3 linked regions of the Callithrix jacchus genome follow. The protein of the gene in region 1 interacts with the protein of each later gene in a biochemical or structural test. Links are inferred from orthologs where the notes say so. Each region holds a gene or a part of one and is shown on either strand. Other genes may lie near its edges.

Region 1 (5,587 bases):
AGGCAGGGTCGGAAAGCGTCAGGGACGAAATCAGAGCTGCAGGTCAGCAGAGGGGAAGGGGGAACCATAGGCAAGCACGACGCGTGGCTGGCCATCAACCCTGCTTCAGCTTGACCTCAATCTTGCTTCTGTACCTCGGGTAGCACCAGAGCCCTTTCCATGCCCAGAGCAAGGAACAGGGCAGCAGCCCAGAGCACCAGGATTGTAAGATTACCCAACCTGCGAGGCACCATTTTCCGTGGTCTATAATCTTTTTTAGGGAAATGGTGTCATCAAGCATCAAAGTCACTCATGTCAGAAACCTTCAGGTCATCTTTAACCCCCAGTTAGAATAAGACTCCAAGTCTTGCTCAGTCTACCTCCTACTTCTTTTTCAAATCCTTGCCTCTTCTCCATCCTCACTGACACTATCAATCACTGACAGTATCATCATCTTTGGTTCCAATTAATAGAGCAGTCTTCCTTCCAACTGCCTTCCTGCCTCCAATATGTGCCCTTCCAATCTCTTCTTATTATTATAGCCAAACCAATAGCTCTAAAACGTGGATGTGATTGTGACCCTTCTGGTTAAAAGTCCTTCAGTGGCTTCCCATTGTCTTCTTCATTTAGAACAGTGGGTGAGAGACTTAAGAAGTAGTAGGGGCAATATCTATTTCATACAGCCCTTATTTGTTTCAAGGATAACCAAGTAATCTGCCTTTCGTGGCTGAAAGAATATTGTATAATACATGACTGCACTGTCTAAATAAGATCAAGTCTGTTAACTTTTCACTTTTAATATCTCTCAGACTTCTTCTCATTATCCCTCCTGTTACTGCTTAAGTTTAGGCTAAAACAACTCTCACACAGACTATTCCAACATACCTCTATGGATACAGTCTCACTCTCTAATCCATTTTCCACATTTCTAATAGTTTAATCACATCACTTCTTGCTTAAAATTCTTCAATGGCTATTCAGTGCAGTAGGATAAATCCCCCAATGCTTTAAGATGAATCCAAATTTCTCACCTTCTGGCACTTTCTGACCTAAAAGTCATTTTTATCCAGGTACACGTGACAATCACCCATAGGGTGTCTTACTTTTTTTTTTTTTTTTTTTGAGATGGAGTCGTGCACTGTCACCTAGGTTGGAATGTAGTGGTGCAATCCTGGCTCACTGCAACCTCCGCCTCACAGGTTAAGCAATTCTCCTTGCCTCAGCCTCCCAAGTAGCTGGGATTACAGGGGCCCACCACCACACCTGGCTAATTTTTTTGTATGTTTAGTAGAGACAGGGTTTCACCATGTTGGCCAGACTGATCTCAAACTCCTGACCTTGTCATCCACCTACCTCGGCCTCCCAAAGTGCTGGGATTACAGGCATGAGCCACTAGGCCCAGCAGGATGTGTTTTTAAAATATACATATTTAGCTCTATCCCAGAAACTAGTTCAACAAGTTTGGAAAAGGGATACACATCTATACTTTGATAAGCAACAGAGGTAATGCAGATATCCACTAGGAACACCTCATCTCTTACCAATACCCTCTCCACAATCACAAGATATCCTTCAGAACTTCTCAAGATTCTGTGCTGCATGTATTCGTCTACCTTGTAACTATACTAATACTGTTTTCTCTGGCAGGAGTGTACCTCTTCTTTGCTTAACCCATTCTCACTTGTCAAACCTCACTTGCAAAGCTTTCCCCCAACAAAATCTGTATGAGCCCCCAACAAAATCTGTATGAGCCCCCTCAAACTGTCCTACCTAAAAATTCTGTACTTCCTTTAGCACAGCCCTTTAACACAGCATTACACTACTACACCGTTTGCTGCTTGAAGGAAAGATTAAAGTCTCTTGTCTATGTTGCTCTTGTATTATATAATACAGCACTCTTGCACATAGTTGGTACTCTGCAAAAAATTGGTAAATGAATGTCCTCAACGCTACATAATAAAAAATTATTTTAGTTTTGGGTAAGGGTACTTAAAAAAAAGTTTTACTCTACAGAAATACTATTTTAAAAACAGGCTCTATAAAAAATAAATCAGCTGGCTGGGCACAGTGGCTCATGCTCATAATCCCTGCACTTTGGAAGGTCGAAGCAGGTGGGTTATCTGAGGTCAGGAGTTTGAGACCAGCCTGGCCAACATGATGAAACCCAGTTTCTACTAAAAATACAAAAGATCAGCTGGGCATGGTGGTGCATGCCTATAATCCCAGCTACTCAGGAGGCTGAGGCAGGATAATCACTTGAACCTGGGAGGTGGAGGTTGCAGTGGGCCGAGGTAGCACCACTGCACTCCAGCCTGGGCAACAAGAGCAAAACTCCATCACAAAAAAAAACAACAACCAATTTTCATACTAATTAAAATGTATAATAGTTGAATTAGAACCCTTTCTCTGCCTCTTATGAAGAAATCTCAAGTGTCCTCAGATGAGGCATAGTCACATATTATACTAGATAAAATGCCAATGAAATTTTGATCTGCCCAAGGAGATTCATTATGAAAGTATTAGACTTACTGGAGATTCCTGGTGTATGGGCTCAGACTCTAGGTTGCTCTGGCCTTCAGCATGTTCATTAAGGTTGGCTGTTTCACTGCTGCTGGTGCTGAGGCTGCAATAATCTGTAGCTCCATTTACAAGAATGCTGTGTGGGCTACTGCACCAATTTAACTGATTATTATGATTTTCTAAATCTTTAATTTCCATCAGTTTCATTTGTATCTGCCAACACAAAGCAAAAATACAGAATAGAATTTATTACTAGAAAGACATGTAACACAAAAATGCCCTCCTCCACTTCCTGATGGGGTAGGTGTGGTAGCTAAAGCCTGAAATCCCAATATTTTGGGAAGCTGAGGCAGGAGGACTGCTTCAGCCCAGTTGTTCAAGACCAGCCTGAGCAACAAGGTGAAACCTCATTTCTACAATAAATATAAAAATCAGCTGGGCATGGTGGAGTGCACCTATAGTCCCAGCTACTCAGGAGGCTGAGGTGGGAAGATCACTTGAGCTCAGAGGTCAAGGCTGCAGTGAGCCATGATCACACCACTGCACTCCTGACTGACAGAATGAGACCCTGTCTCAAAAAAATAAAATAAAAATGGCTATACCTGTAGACTTGGTCAATGATACACTTGCTTCCTTTAAGAAGAATCCTCTGGGAATGCTACATGACTTAGAGGAAAGACTCAATAATTTCTAACAATAAGCATTCCTCTCTTGAGATTCTAGTATACTTGGATTTTTTTTTTAAAGAAATTAAGAAAAAGAAAATAGTTTAAAGAATACCCATTCATCTGGTAGCATTCTCACTACAATAACTCTTTCAGGTTACCTGTTAATAAAGTAAGTACCTACACTGGGACAAGAACTGTGCTAAAATGATAGGAATTTTTAAAAATGTGTAAGTTTCTGGACCAAAAATGTCAGTCTGCTAGGGTAGATAGACATATAAGCAAATATGCAGGGAAAAACCTTATTATTGCTATAACAGAAATATAAAGCCCAACAAAGGCAGGACGAAGAAAATACCATAAAGAATAAGAAGTTAGAGGGAACGATCCAAGATGGCCGATCGCTAACATCCCGGGATTGCAGCTCTCAGGGAAGGCGCGGAGAACTAGAGGACGCCACACTTTAAGACAAAGTCTGGTCGCTCACGGAGCAGAAGATCCCCCAGTGGTGGAAACACACGAGTCGCTAGCGCGACTCTCGTGGTAGGCGCAGCGGTTCCGCCGGCACCTGGACGCAGCAGCGCTCGGCACAGAGTAAACGGGACCGGTTCCCCTTCTGACCGAGGTTTGGAGCCCCGGGAAGGCAGAGTCGCCTACTACGGAAACAAAAAGGAAGCCCGACAGGAGAATCCTGGGCAGAAAAGCACCATCAGTTTTAACGCCGCTGCTCTGGCCCTGGGAACTAACAACCTGGACGTCCACTCAAGAGACCTAATCTGAAAATTGGTAATTTCAAAGACGACAGGAGGATAAATTTACAATGACGGGAAGAAACCAGCGTAAAAAAGCTGAGAATACTCAAAGTCAGAACGCCTCTCCCTCTAAAGATGATCACAGTTCCACATCAACAATGGAACAAGGCTTGATGGAGAACGAGCGCCTCCTGATGACAGAATCACTCTTCAAGGAATGGATAATAACAAACTTCGGTGAGTTAAAAGAACATGTTGTAGCCCAACGTAAAGAAACTAGGAACTTTGAAAAAAGGTTTGATGAAATCCTATTGAGAATAGACAACTTAGAGAGGAGTATGAGTGAATTAATGGAACTGAAGAATACAATACAGGAACTCCGAGAAGTATGCACAGGTTTAAACACTCGAATTGTTCAAGCAGAAGAAGGGATATCAGAGGTCAAAGTCCAACTTAATGAAATAAAACGTGAAGAAAAGATTAGAGAAAAAAGGATAAAAAGGAATGAGCAAAGTCTCCAAGAAATGTGGGACTATGTGAAAAGACCAAATTTACGTTTGATAGGTGTACCTGAATGCGACGGAGAGAATGAATCCAAGCTGGAAAATACCCTTCAGGATATTATTCAGGAAAATTTTCCTAAACTAGCAAAGCAGGTCAACATTCAACCCCAGGTAATACAGAGAACACCACAAAGATATTCCTCAAGAAGAGCAACCCCAAGGCACATAATCGTTAGATTCACCAGGGTTGAAACGAAGGAGAGGATACTAAGGGCAGCCAGAGAGAAAGGTCAGATTACCCACAAAGGCAAGCCAATCAGACTTACAGCAGATCTCTCGGCAGAAACTCTACAGGCCAGAAGAGAGTGGGGGCCAATATTCAACATCCTCAAAGAACAGAACCTTCAGCCCAGAATTTCACATCCAGCCAAACTAAGCTTCACAACTGAAGGAAAAATAAAATCTTTTATGAACAAGCAAGAACTCAGAGATTTTATTACCACCAGGCCTGCTTTACAAGAGCTTCTGAAAGAAGCATTACACACAGAAAGAAACAACCAGTATTAGCCTTTCTAAAAATACACCAAAAAGTAAAGAGCACCAACATAAAGAAGAATTTACACCAACAAATGGATAAAACAGCCAGTCAACATCAAATGGCAGTAACCCTAAATTTAAATTGACTGAATTCCCAATCAAAAGACACAGCCAAAACCCAATGGCATGTTACATCCAGACCTGTTTCACATGCAAGGATACACAAAGACTCAAAACAAAGGGATGGAGAAAGATTTACCAACCAAATGGAGAGCAAAAATAAATAATAAATAAATAAAAAGCAGGAGTTGCAATTCTTGTATCGGATAAAATAGATTTTAAAGTAACAAAGATATAGTGGTAAAAGGATCAATGCAACAACAAGAGCTAACGATCCTAACACCCAGATAGGAGACTTAGATTCAATGAGACAGAAAATTAATAAGGATATCCAGGACTCGAACTCAGATCCAGAACAAGTAAACTTAATAAATATTTATAGAGCTCTCCACTTCAAATACACAAAATATACATTCTTGTCAATACCACATCACACCTACCCATTAGTTTAAATGAAACATTGATTGGCCATTATTAATACCCAATTTTTTTCAAAATAAAGCAATATTTC
Region 2 (5,587 bases), on another chromosome or scaffold:
TTTTTTTTTTTCTTTTTAAATCGGAGTTTTGCTCTTGTCGCCGAGGCTGGAGTGCAGTGGTGCGATCTCAGCTCACTGCAACCTCCCCTTCCCGGGTTCAAGAGGTTTTCTGCCTCAGCCTCCCCAGTAGCTGGGATTACAGGCGCCCGCCACCACGCCCCGCTAATTTTTGTATTTTTAGTAGAGACAGGGTTTCACCGGGTTGGCCAGGCTGGTCTCGAACTCCTGACCACTGGTGATCTGCCTGCCTCAACCTCCCAAAGTGTTGGGATTAGAGGCGTGAGCCACCATGCTCCGCCTGAGCAGAGGGTCTTATCCAACCCGGCCAATTCTGCCCCCAGGGGGCATTGTCAGTGTCTAGAGACATTTTTGGTTGTCACCACCAGGCAGGGGTGTGCTCCCGGCTTCAGTGGGTGGAGGCTGGGGTTGCTGCTCAGCACCCTGCAGTGCACAGGGCAGCCTCCACCCCCCGAGAATGGTTCAGCCCCCAGATGTCCACAGTGCTGACTGAGAAAGTAGGGTAGAGGGGGGAGCACAGCCTGCGGTGCAGGGAGGTAGGTGGGAGAGGAGGTAGGCAAGCGAGTGAGCATGTTCATAGATGGAACAGAAAACTAGGACCCCAAGGAAGCAGGAGAGGGAGGGGAGCTTGGGTGTTATAAACTCGTGGAACTCAGACACAGGCCACCGTAGGTGGCTGTGGTCAGGTTCTCAGAGAGGATGGAGATCACAGAATGGGTGAATGTTGGCTAAAAATCCTCTGCTGAACCCTACAGCATGCCTGCCTCCTAAGCCTTCAGTGCTTGCTTGCATACCCCCAGTGACGGGGAGCTCACCCCTTATTCAGCCACCATTCTGGTGTCTGGGAGGTTCAGGGGTATGGATGGTACCTGCAGTCCTGTCTGGCACCTTTTCTGCAGCCCCAGGATTTCAGACCCATCGGGGGTCTCCACAGAAAAGCCCACCTCCTAGATTTTGGCTGAGTTCGTGCCCCTGGGAAGGCCTCAGAGGCCCCAGGCAGCATCTCAGCAGTGCCTCTGTGCAATCGCTCCCAGACCTGATGCCCGCACCTGCTGACCCCACAGCCAGGGAGGGCCTGGCAGCCCCACCCAGGAGACTTCGCTCTAGGAAGGTGTCCTGCCCTCTCACACGCAGCAACGGGGACCTGGTAGGTGAGGGGCCTGGCAGGAGCTGGGCTGTGGGGCGCCTCTGGGGTCAGCTTTGGGCACCGCTCCTGGGAACCCACAGCCCAGCTTGTCTCTTTCCCTTCCAGTCTCGTTCCCTGAGCCCTTCCCCACTGGGCTCTTCGGCCCCCAGCACTGGCCCAGAACGGCCCTGCTTCTCATCCCAGACAGGACACGGTACGTGAGGGTGGGCCTGGGCCCTGCCTTGGGCCTCAGTCTCACCTTCTGTGGTTCGGGTGGGTAGCTTCTCTGTTGGCACAGGTGTGGTGGGGCGGAGGTGGGGGCGGGTCTCGAGCCTGAGGCCTCTCTTCACCCCGTCTTTCTGTCCCCCATTCCCTCCCCGCCACCCCCAGGAGTCTCCCGGGGTCCGAGCCCTGTGGTCCTGGGCTCCCAGGATGCCCTGCCGGTAGCCACAGCCTTCACGGAGTATGTCCACGCCTACTTCCGTGGCCACAGCCCCAGGTACACGGTAATGGGCAGACAGGGCCCGTGGGGGGTCTGTGTTGGGGGGCATCCAGCAGGGACAGCTTTCAGATGTGCTTCATGGCCTGTCTTATGATGAAACGCCTTAAACACTGAGCCAAGTGACCAGGCCCCCATGTCCATGTCCTAAGGGCAATGGAGCCAGGGAGGGCCTTTTTTTTTTTTTGAGATAGACTTTCACTCTTGTCGCCCAGGCTGGAGTGTAGTGGCATGATCTCAGTTCACCACAACCTCTGCCTCCCGGGTTCAAGTGATTCTCCTGCCTCAGCCTCCCACGTAGCTGGAACTACAGGTGCCCACCAACGCAGCTGACTCAATTTTTAAATTTTTTGTTTGTTTTGAGACAGGGTCTCACTCTGTCGCTCAGGCTGGAGTGCAGTGGCGTGATCTCAGCTCACTGCCACCTCTGCCTCCTGGGTTCAAGCGATTCTCCTGCCTCAGCCTCCCAAGGAGCTGAGATTACAGGCACCAACCACCACGCCCAGCTAATTTTGTATTTTTAGTAGAGACAGGGTTTCACCGTGTTGGCCAGGCTGGTCTTGAACTCCTGACTTCAAGTGATCAGCTCGTCTCAGCCTTCCAAAGTGCTGGGATTACAGGCATGAGCCGCCACACCTGGCCATAGGAGGGCATTTGAGCAGGGCTAGGCATTACTGTAGTCTCGAGGCTGCCATGTGCATTTCAATGAAGAGACCAAGACTAGTTAGTCGCAGTAACGGGGGTTAGAAGGTGGGTTAGGGAAAAGCAGAGGGGCCAAGGATATATACTAGGATGGCCTTCAGCAAAAAAGATCTGAAAGTCAAACCAGGAAGAAGAGGTGAGTGTCAGATCGAAAACCCAAGCAGACAACAGCTAAAAAACTGAACATTTTAATTTGAGCTTCCTGGTGGCCTAGGAGAAAAGAGCTAGGGAAGGAGATGTTCCTGCCTCCTTCAGCCCAGGGTGGATTCTTCCTGTCTAGGCAGGAACAAAAGAGGAGGAAGTTAGGGCAAAGGACATGGGGCATCCTCAGGGCCATCCTAGATCCAAGGGGTCTGGGGAGCCACAGGCAGCAGTGGAACCAGGAGCAGGGGAGGATGAGACACCAGGCAGAGCTCTAAGCCAACGCCCAGTCCCTCTACCCTCCCCAGCTGCCTGGCTCGAGTAACTGGGGAGCTGACCATGACCTTCCCTGCTGGCATCGTGCGTGTGTTCAGCGGGACCCCGCCCCCACCTGTCCTCAGCTTCCGGCTTGTACACACGGCTCCTATAGAACACTTCCAACCCAATGCCGAGCTGCTCTTCAGGTACAGCAGATGGGAGGTGGGAGAGGGCCACAGAGGCTACTGGGGTCAGGGGCTTCTGGGCTCTGAATTCCCTCTCTGCCCCTGGGATTTTTTTTTTTTTTTTTTTTTTGAGACAGAGTCTCGCTCTGTTGCCCCAGCTGGAGTGCAATGGTGAGATCTCAGCTCACTGCAACCTCCGCCTCCTGGGTTCAAGCGATTCTTCTGCCTCAGCCTCCCGAGTAGCTGGGATTACAGGCGTGCGCCACCACACCCAGCTAATTTTTGTATTTTTAGTAGAGACAGGGTTTCACCATGTTGGTCACACTGTCTCAAACTCCCGACCTTGTGATCTGCCCGCCTGGGCCTCCCAAAGTGCAGGGATTACAGGTGTGAGTCACAGCGCTCAGCAGCCTCCTTGGATTTGCTGTGTGGCCTGGGGCAAGTAACTTGCCCTCTCTGACCCTGGTTTTCCATCCCTCTTTTACTGCCCCCACCACTGCCACCCAGGTAGGGCTTTGGTGGGCCAGGAAACGGCATCTTTAGGAAGTGCTTGGGGTAGTTTGATGTTGAGAGCCCTGGGAGGGCATCTCCTAGGGTTGGGGTGATCAGTCCCGGTCTCTGCAGTGACCCCTCCCAGAGTGACCCTGAGACCAAAGACTTCTGGCTCAATATGGCAGCTCTGACCGAGGCCCTGCAGCGCCAGGCAGAGCAGAACCCCACCGCCTCCTACTACAACGTGGTGCTGCTGCGATACCAGGTACGCCACGCACACGGGCCGGGAGCAGGTGGAGTGGGGTGGGGTGAGCAGCCGACTTGGAAGTGCCTGCATGTTGGCCAAGCTGGTCTCGAACACCAACCTGTGAGAGCCGATGAGCTGGAGTGTGTAGGCAGGGTGGGTTGGGAACGAACGGTGGATGGAGTCAGGGTGGGAGGGCGTGTGTCCCCTGTGGCAGATACCTTCATTATGTGAACTAGAAGAGGCCCAGCCAGGGAACCTTGCCCTTGAACTTCCTTGGGAGACTTTTCTTAGAACGATGTGCTCTCCTGCCCCCTGCTGGAAACCTGGTGTAATACAGCCTCTCATCCGTCAAATCTCCCTGTGACTGGGCTGTCTTGGGGCAGGGTGTGCGTGCATCGCGGGGTCAAGGTGGTTGAATAGGGCGTGTGTGGCAAGACGAGATGGCCCAAACCATGTGCTCTCTCCTGTTCTGATTCCTCGTAGTTCTCCCGCCCGGGTCCCCAGTCTGTGCCTCTGCAGCTCAGTGCCCACTGGCAGTGTGGGGCCACCCTCACCCAGGTCTCGGTGGACTATGGCTACCGGCCCGGTGCCACAGCTGTGCCCACACCACTCACGAACGTCCAGATCCTGCTGCCCGTGGGGGAGCCTGTGACCAACGTCCGCCTGCAGCCAGCCGCCACCTGGTGAGGGCGTGCGGGAGGCCAAGGAAAACTCAGCAGTTTCCCCCATAAGCCCAGACCTTCCTCTTGATGACGGTTAAAGGGTGCACTCTGGGCCCGACCCTTCACTGGTGATTCCACCCTGCTTAGCACTGAGGGTGATGTTATGAGGGCCAGGTGCCGTGGGTCATGCCTGTATTTGCAATGCTTTGGGAGGCTGAGATGGGAGGTTCACTTAAGGCCAGGAGTTTGAGACCAGCCTGGACAATATAGTGAGACCTCATCTCTACAGAAAACATTTTCGTTTTATTAATTTATTTATTTTGAGATGGAGTCTTGCTCTGTCACCCAGGCTGGAGCGCAATGGCGGGATCTCAGCTCACTGCGACCTCCGCCTCCCAGGTTCAAGTGACTCACCTCCCGAGTAGCTGGGATTACAGGTGCCTGCCACCTCACCCAGCTAATTTTTGTATTTTTTTAGTAGAGACAGCATTTCACTATGTTGCCCAGTCTGATCTCGAACCCCTAACCTCAGGTGATCCACCCACCTCAGCCTCCCAAATCCAAAGTACTGGGATTACAGGCATGAGCCACTGCACCCGCCTTCCAAAAAATATTTTAAAAAGTAGTCAGGCTTGGTGGTGTGCTCCTGTAGTCTCAGCGACTTGGGAGGCTGAGGCAGAAGGATCGCTTGAGCCCAGGAGTTGAGGCTGCAGGGACTTAGCCTGGGTGACAACCGTCTCTTTTTTTTTTTTTTTTTTTGAGACAGAGTTTCGCTCTTGTTGCCCAGGCTGGAGTGCAATGGCACCATCTCAGCTCACCGCGACCTCCGCCTCCCAGGTTCAAGTGATTCTCCTGCCTCAGTCTCCCAGGTAGCTGGGATTATAGGCATGTGCCACCACGCCCAGCTAATTTTGTACTTTTAGTAGAGATGGGGTTTCTCCATGTTGGTCGGGCTGGTCTTGAATTCCTGACTTCAGGTGATCCGCCCACCTAGGCCTCCCAAAGTGCTGGGATTACAGGTGTGAGCCACTGTGCCTGGCCAGAACCCTCTCTTAAAAAACAAAGATTAGGCTCTCACCAGCAATCCCAGAACTTTGGAAGGCCGAGGCGGGCGGATTACCTGAGGTCCGGAGTTCGAGACCAGCCTGGTTAATACGGCAAAACCCCATTTCTACTAAAAATACAAAAAATTAGCCAGGCATGGTGGCACATGCCTGTAACCCCAGCTACTCAGGATGCTGAGGCAGGAGAATCGCT
Region 3 (5,587 bases), about 16 Mb from region 1:
AATTGACAGGTACAATTGTATGTCTGTATTAGGTACAACATGATATTTTGAATATACATATGTTGTAGAACGACTAAATTCAACTAATTAACATATGCATTACCTCACATAGTTATTTTTGTAATGAGAACACTTTACATTCACTCTCTTTAGCGATTTTTAAGAAAACAGTATATGATTATTAACTGTAGTCAGCATATTACACAATCCATCTCTAGAATTTGTTCCTCCCATCTAACTGAAATTTTGTGTCCTTTGACCAACATCTCCCCAAACAAATCCCCACGCCCACCACTGCCACCACCTCAGCCTCTGGCAACTGCCATTCTACTCTCTAATGCTATAAGATCAACTTTTATTTTTATTTTGTTTTATTTAGTTAGTTATCTGAGACAAAGTCTCACTCTGTTGCCCAAGCTGGAGTGCAGTGGCACAATCTTGCCTTATAGCAACCTCCACCTCCCAGGTTCAAACAATTCTCCTGCCTCAGCCTCCCATTTAGCTGGGATTACAGGCATGCATCACCATGCCTGGCTAATTTTTGTATTTACAGTAGAGATGGGGTTTCGCCATGTTGGCCAGGCTGGTCTCAAACTCCTGGCCTCAGGTGATCCACCCACCTCGGCCTCCCAAAGCGCCACTGTGCCCAGCCAAGATCAATTTTTAAATATTTCACATAAGAGTGAGAGCGTGTGGTATTGGTCTTTCTGTGCCTGGATTATTTCATTTACCTTATTTTTAATGCATTATAATTTTTTATTAAATATGTTCAGATTATTTTTCTTAAAATAAAGAAACTAATACTTTAATAAAAATTAGGGTATCTCAAACTTGGCTGTATTTCTCAATCACCAAGGAATTAAATGCTTGTAATTAAATGCTGGTTCTGAATTGATGCTAAAAAGAAATATATATATGTATATATATATATAGTTAAATATAATATTGATAACATAGATTATATGATTACATTATATAATTATATATAGTATATTATATAATTACATTAGGTGTTATATTGTATGTTATATATAAATATTATATAATATATAATATATCATGTGTTATAAATAAATATATAATGTATATATTATTAAAATAAATATTTATTTAGATTATTTAAAGATAATATGTTATTTATATATATATTTATATATTTATATATGTGTGGTGTTAGGGCCTAGCAGATATATATATATATTAAATATACATATATTTTATTTTATTGGCTTAGAATGCAACCCAGGTATTTGTACTTTATACAAGTTCCTCAAGAGATTTTATGTATCCTATGCTTTGAAATACATTTATTTAAAATGTTGTAAGGAAACCATTTAAAGTAAAATATCTACATAATGGTACATTTTTCAAAAATGCAAAAGAATATAATTTTTTCTTCTGAGAATAGTATCTACTCTTTGAACGTTATGGATAACACTAATATATAATATGGCATAAATTCACTTATAAATTAAAATATAATAGAAAATACATTATATTTAGTTTTTTTCCAAAATATTTAAATATGCTTAGTGAGAAATGAAAGGAAATAAGAGAGGAAAATTCTAAATGGGATTTTTTTCTCTGAATGCGAAGTTAAATTCCAAGGCAGAAGGCAAATTTCATGCATGGTTTGTATCCCCAAAGTGTGGAAATAGGATGGCAGTTCTTCACCTTCGTGGACTCTAATTATATACACTGCATGTACATTTTCACTTCAGATAAAATGTTTGTTTGAAATTTTAAAACCCTGTGGAGTTGTTTTTATTTCTGTGTTTGTTATTAAGTAAATCTAGAAAGTAGATAGAATTCACCTATTGCAGTATGCACTTTGTGTAAAGTGTTAAAATGTAGGCAAGGTCCAGGTGTAGTACTAAAATGTAGGCAAGGTCTGGAATTACACCTGTAATCCTAGCACTGTGGGAGGCTGAGGCAGGAGGATCACTTGAGTCCAGGAGTTTGAGACCAGCTTTGGCAACATAGGGAGACCCCATCTCTATTTTTCTTAATAAATAAATAAAGTGTAAGCAAGATACTGAATTCTAAAATTAAGTCAGCTTTCTACTGGCCACTGACCTTGATTGCTTTATATCCCAGAACCTCAGTTTCCTCATCTAAGGGTAATAATGATATCTACCTATTTTATAGGTTGCTATAAGAAGCTAATAGCTTCAAAGTACTTTATGAAACGTAAACAGCCCTAGACTGGCTGTTTTATTTTAACATGTGCTCTGAAGAATTCATTTGCTGTTGCTTACCTGTCTTTTTGTTGTTGTTTTCAACAATGCAAGGAATTGGGTGGAGAAGCACAACCAGCATTTTGTGGAATTGCCCTTAAATTGCAGCGTGTTTAGTTTCTGGCCCCATAGCATGCCCCCAGAAATTGGAACAATCAAAAACACATTTTCATATACCCAAAAAGCACCTCCCCAGGTAGAGGAAGTATAATCAGGTTGAGAACTACCACTGAGGACAGAGTCCAGAAAATGGGGTGTGGGAGGGAGATTGCTCTGCTTTTGATCCGCTGTAGTTAATTGATTTTTAAATAAATGTTTGTCTGCAGAAAGTATTATGCTGCCAATAATATTTAAAGTTTAAAAACTATAATGGTTAACTAGTTTAAACTGTCATCAAAAGCCATATCTTTCATTTTATAAAAGAATCCATTTTGGGTCTTGTTTCTGCCACGACCACTCCTGCCTTGAAAGTTCAACCTGCCTTCAGGACCCTTCTCCATGGCGACCATATGCACAAGCATTTCCTAGACAGCCGTTTAAATCCTTCAAAATCAGCAAAGCTCATCATACTCCATGAATAAAAATCCCAGGGCATAGATACCACTCATCTGATCCCTGCAGAGATCCCTGCAAGAGAGGTGACTCTTGGAGACTTATTTGCCGCCATAATGAACAATCGAGAAATTGTAACACTGTAAATTTTTCACGGTGGACCCAGAATTCACAACAATATTATTGCCTTTAGATGAATGTTTGTTTTTTTCTTCAAACCCGGTGGGGTTTTTTTTTTTTTTTAATAAGACAAGCTCACAGATTATTCTAATTAGTATTGACAGTAGATTCTTGCATTGTAGCACTTTCAGCTAGAGGAATCCCAAAGGAAGTAAAGGAAGTAAATGCCTTTGGGATTTGCCACAGTAAGGACTTGAAACCAGGTGTAAAATTCCAAGGGAGTAATAATAACCTACCCTAGTCTAGCTCATTGGTTTGTTGTTGAAGAGCAAATATGGTAAGAATATTAAAAGTAACACTTACCAAAATGTAATTCCTTAGTGTGTGCCGGGCATCCTGCTGAGTGTTTCACAAAAAAACATCTCCTTCAATCTTCCTGACAACCCCGTGGGTAAATATTATTGTTCTAATTCCCATTTAGCAAATGAGGAAAGAACAGAAGCTCAGAGAGGTTTAGGAACTTGTCCAAGATCACTTAGCTTGTAAGTGGAATGGCAGAATCAGAACTCACACTCGCAACTGTCTAGCTTCTCGGCCTTAGCTCCTGGCCGGCCTGCTAGTCCACCTCCTTAACTGACATGAAGTGTATTGGAAACTCCAAAGTGCTACAGAGACTCTCATAGCTGCTTTCGTGTTTTTAGTCTGTAATGGTTTACCTGAAGCACCCAGCTCTCTCTCACAGCACCCGTCATGGTGCCTCTCACTCATGGTTGCTTGTGAGCAGCATAAAAAACATTATGACATTTTAATATCTAAGAACATTCCTGTGGGAGAAAATCATAACTTCTGGTCTTGTTTCAGATTATTGGTTGAACCTTTAATATTCTCTTTCCTGTCATTTGGCAAGGTGTCTGCCCAGGGTATTCAGTCCACGCCTCTGAACCTGGCAGTGAATTGGCGATGTGAGCTTGCAAGCACTGACCTGCGCATAGATTACAAATACAACACAGATGCAATGTCGACCGCTGTGGCCCTCAACAATGTGCAGTTCCTGGTCCCCATCGACGGAGGTGTAACCAAGCTCCAGGCAGTGCTCCCACCAGCAGTCTGGTATGAAGCCTTCTATTCTCTCAACTGGGGGGGCTCCTCTGGGTCGACGGATCATGTTTCTTAGCTCTTGTGTTTCCTGTAGGAGGGGTGACAGCAGTCCTGTGTATTGGAGTTCAGGGCAGAAAGTAGAAACCGCTGGTATCTATTTGAAGCAAAAACTAATTCAACAGGGACTTCAATGCTTACATAATGGTGGAAGTGCGAAAGGAATAGGCTGGATCTCTAAACATACCTTCCAGACCTCTGCCAAACTGGCCTGCCACAATCCGGGGACAGAGAGAAATTAGAAGGCTTCCTTTAGAACCACTGAATTCAAGAAGCCAGAGCTGTAACTCTGATCCTAGGACCAGCAAGAACCTATTGGCACCTCCTTAAGTGCTTCTCGGCACCCCCAAACCAGAGGCTAGAGTGGAATCTAGGACCTAATTTGTACCTAGGACCCTAACTGCAAAGGCCTCTGAGAAATGTAGTGTTTCATTTTCTAGCCTCTGAACCATAAAAGCACACTAGAGAAGGCAAGGTTCTAGAAACTGAACAGATTCATTGTGCCTATATCATCTGTTATAAAGGACTTGTTCTAGAAAGAGCATTTCATTTTTTCCATATGACTGTCAGAAGCAAAAAGTAGAATTCGTTTTAAAGATGAATGTCAGCTAGATCATGACCCCAATTTTAATTACCTTAATTAGTTGATTAACTAATACTCTCATTTATCTTCCCATGGATCTGTTTTAGCAGATTATATGAAAAAACTCATTTAACTCTACTTTGTCCTCTAAATATATGTCTCATGGTGTTCTAGCTATTTACAGTAAGGTCAGGGAAAAGAGAGATTTATGTATGTCTGGGAGGGGAGAGAGAGAGAGAGAGAGAGAGAATTTTTAAATTGTAGTTAAACTTTTCAAGATCTAGTTTTTAAAATTAATACTATCCAGAAAAAAAACATGGCATCGGTAAACAAAAACCCTTGCATATGCAAAAACTTTTTACCTAATTTATTTTTAGGAATGCTGAACAACAAAGAATATTGTGGAAGATTCCTGATATCTCTCAGAAGTCAGAAAATGGAGGTAATGAAATCACAAGCTTATTTTATTTAACATGTAAAACTAAAATAGCTTTTAGGTATTTGCCAACTATTACCCAAAACATGTAGCAATAAAAACAAACAGAATATTTCACTCCATTTTTGCATTTTCTTATTTCGATTAATAAAAGCAAAAAATTCTTCAGTGAATTCTCTTTTTCGTTTTCTATAGACTCCATATCAAACAAACTATTGTTCAGGCCTCTTAAGGAGTCATGTTTCCATCTTGTGTCAGATTCCACACTCCCGGATTAGATATTTTTCACTCTCCTCAGATATTAATTATAGGTTGGAAATTACAAGGGCCCCAAGTAGCACATCTTCAAATTTTGAGGTACCATCTAAAGGAAGTAGACTGTTACCAGTGTGCAAATCGAATTGCTCATAATATTCAGTGATAAATTTCATTTAATCACCGTTTTGTCAATAAAGTCTGATTTTGTAGTTCTTTTGAATGCAATGTCCAAAATTACATCCAGAA

The links. The genes of interacting proteins can lie anywhere in the genome.
Region 2: the proteins of EPS15 (region 1) and FCHO1 form a complex in vitro, tested with the Homo sapiens proteins (2 studies listed by BioGRID). The link is inferred for Callithrix jacchus from reciprocal best matches to the Homo sapiens genes EPS15 and FCHO1.
Region 3: the proteins of EPS15 (region 1) and SGIP1 form a complex in vitro, tested with the Homo sapiens proteins (2 studies listed by BioGRID, with this or other methods). The link is inferred for Callithrix jacchus from reciprocal best matches to the Homo sapiens genes EPS15 and SGIP1.

The regions. Positions count from the first base shown.
Region 1 is NC_133508.1:88,292,737-88,298,323, forward strand, and holds part of EPS15 (epidermal growth factor receptor substrate 15), read right to left. Parts: intron 2,713-5,587; coding exon 2,509-2,712; intron 47-2,508; exon of another isoform or gene 1-46. UniProt on the Homo sapiens protein: Involved in cell growth regulation. May be involved in the regulation of mitogenic signals and control of cell proliferation. Involved in the internalization of ligand-inducible receptors of the receptor tyrosine kinase (RTK) type, in particular EGFR.
Region 2 is NC_133523.1:16,511,487-16,517,073, forward strand, and holds part of FCHO1 (F-BAR domain only protein 1), read left to right. Parts: intron 1-917; coding exon 918-1,165; intron 1,166-1,270; coding exon 1,271-1,358; intron 1,359-1,534; coding exon 1,535-1,643; intron 1,644-2,794; coding exon 2,795-2,950; intron 2,951-3,553; coding exon 3,554-3,686; intron 3,687-4,151; coding exon 4,152-4,351; intron 4,352-5,587. UniProt on the Homo sapiens protein: Functions in an early step of clathrin-mediated endocytosis. Has both a membrane binding/bending activity and the ability to recruit proteins essential to the formation of functional clathrin-coated pits.
Region 3 is NC_133508.1:103,972,667-103,978,253, forward strand, and holds part of SGIP1 (SH3-containing GRB2-like protein 3-interacting protein 1), read left to right. Parts: intron 1-3,816; coding exon 3,817-4,019; intron 4,020-5,024; coding exon 5,025-5,089; intron 5,090-5,587.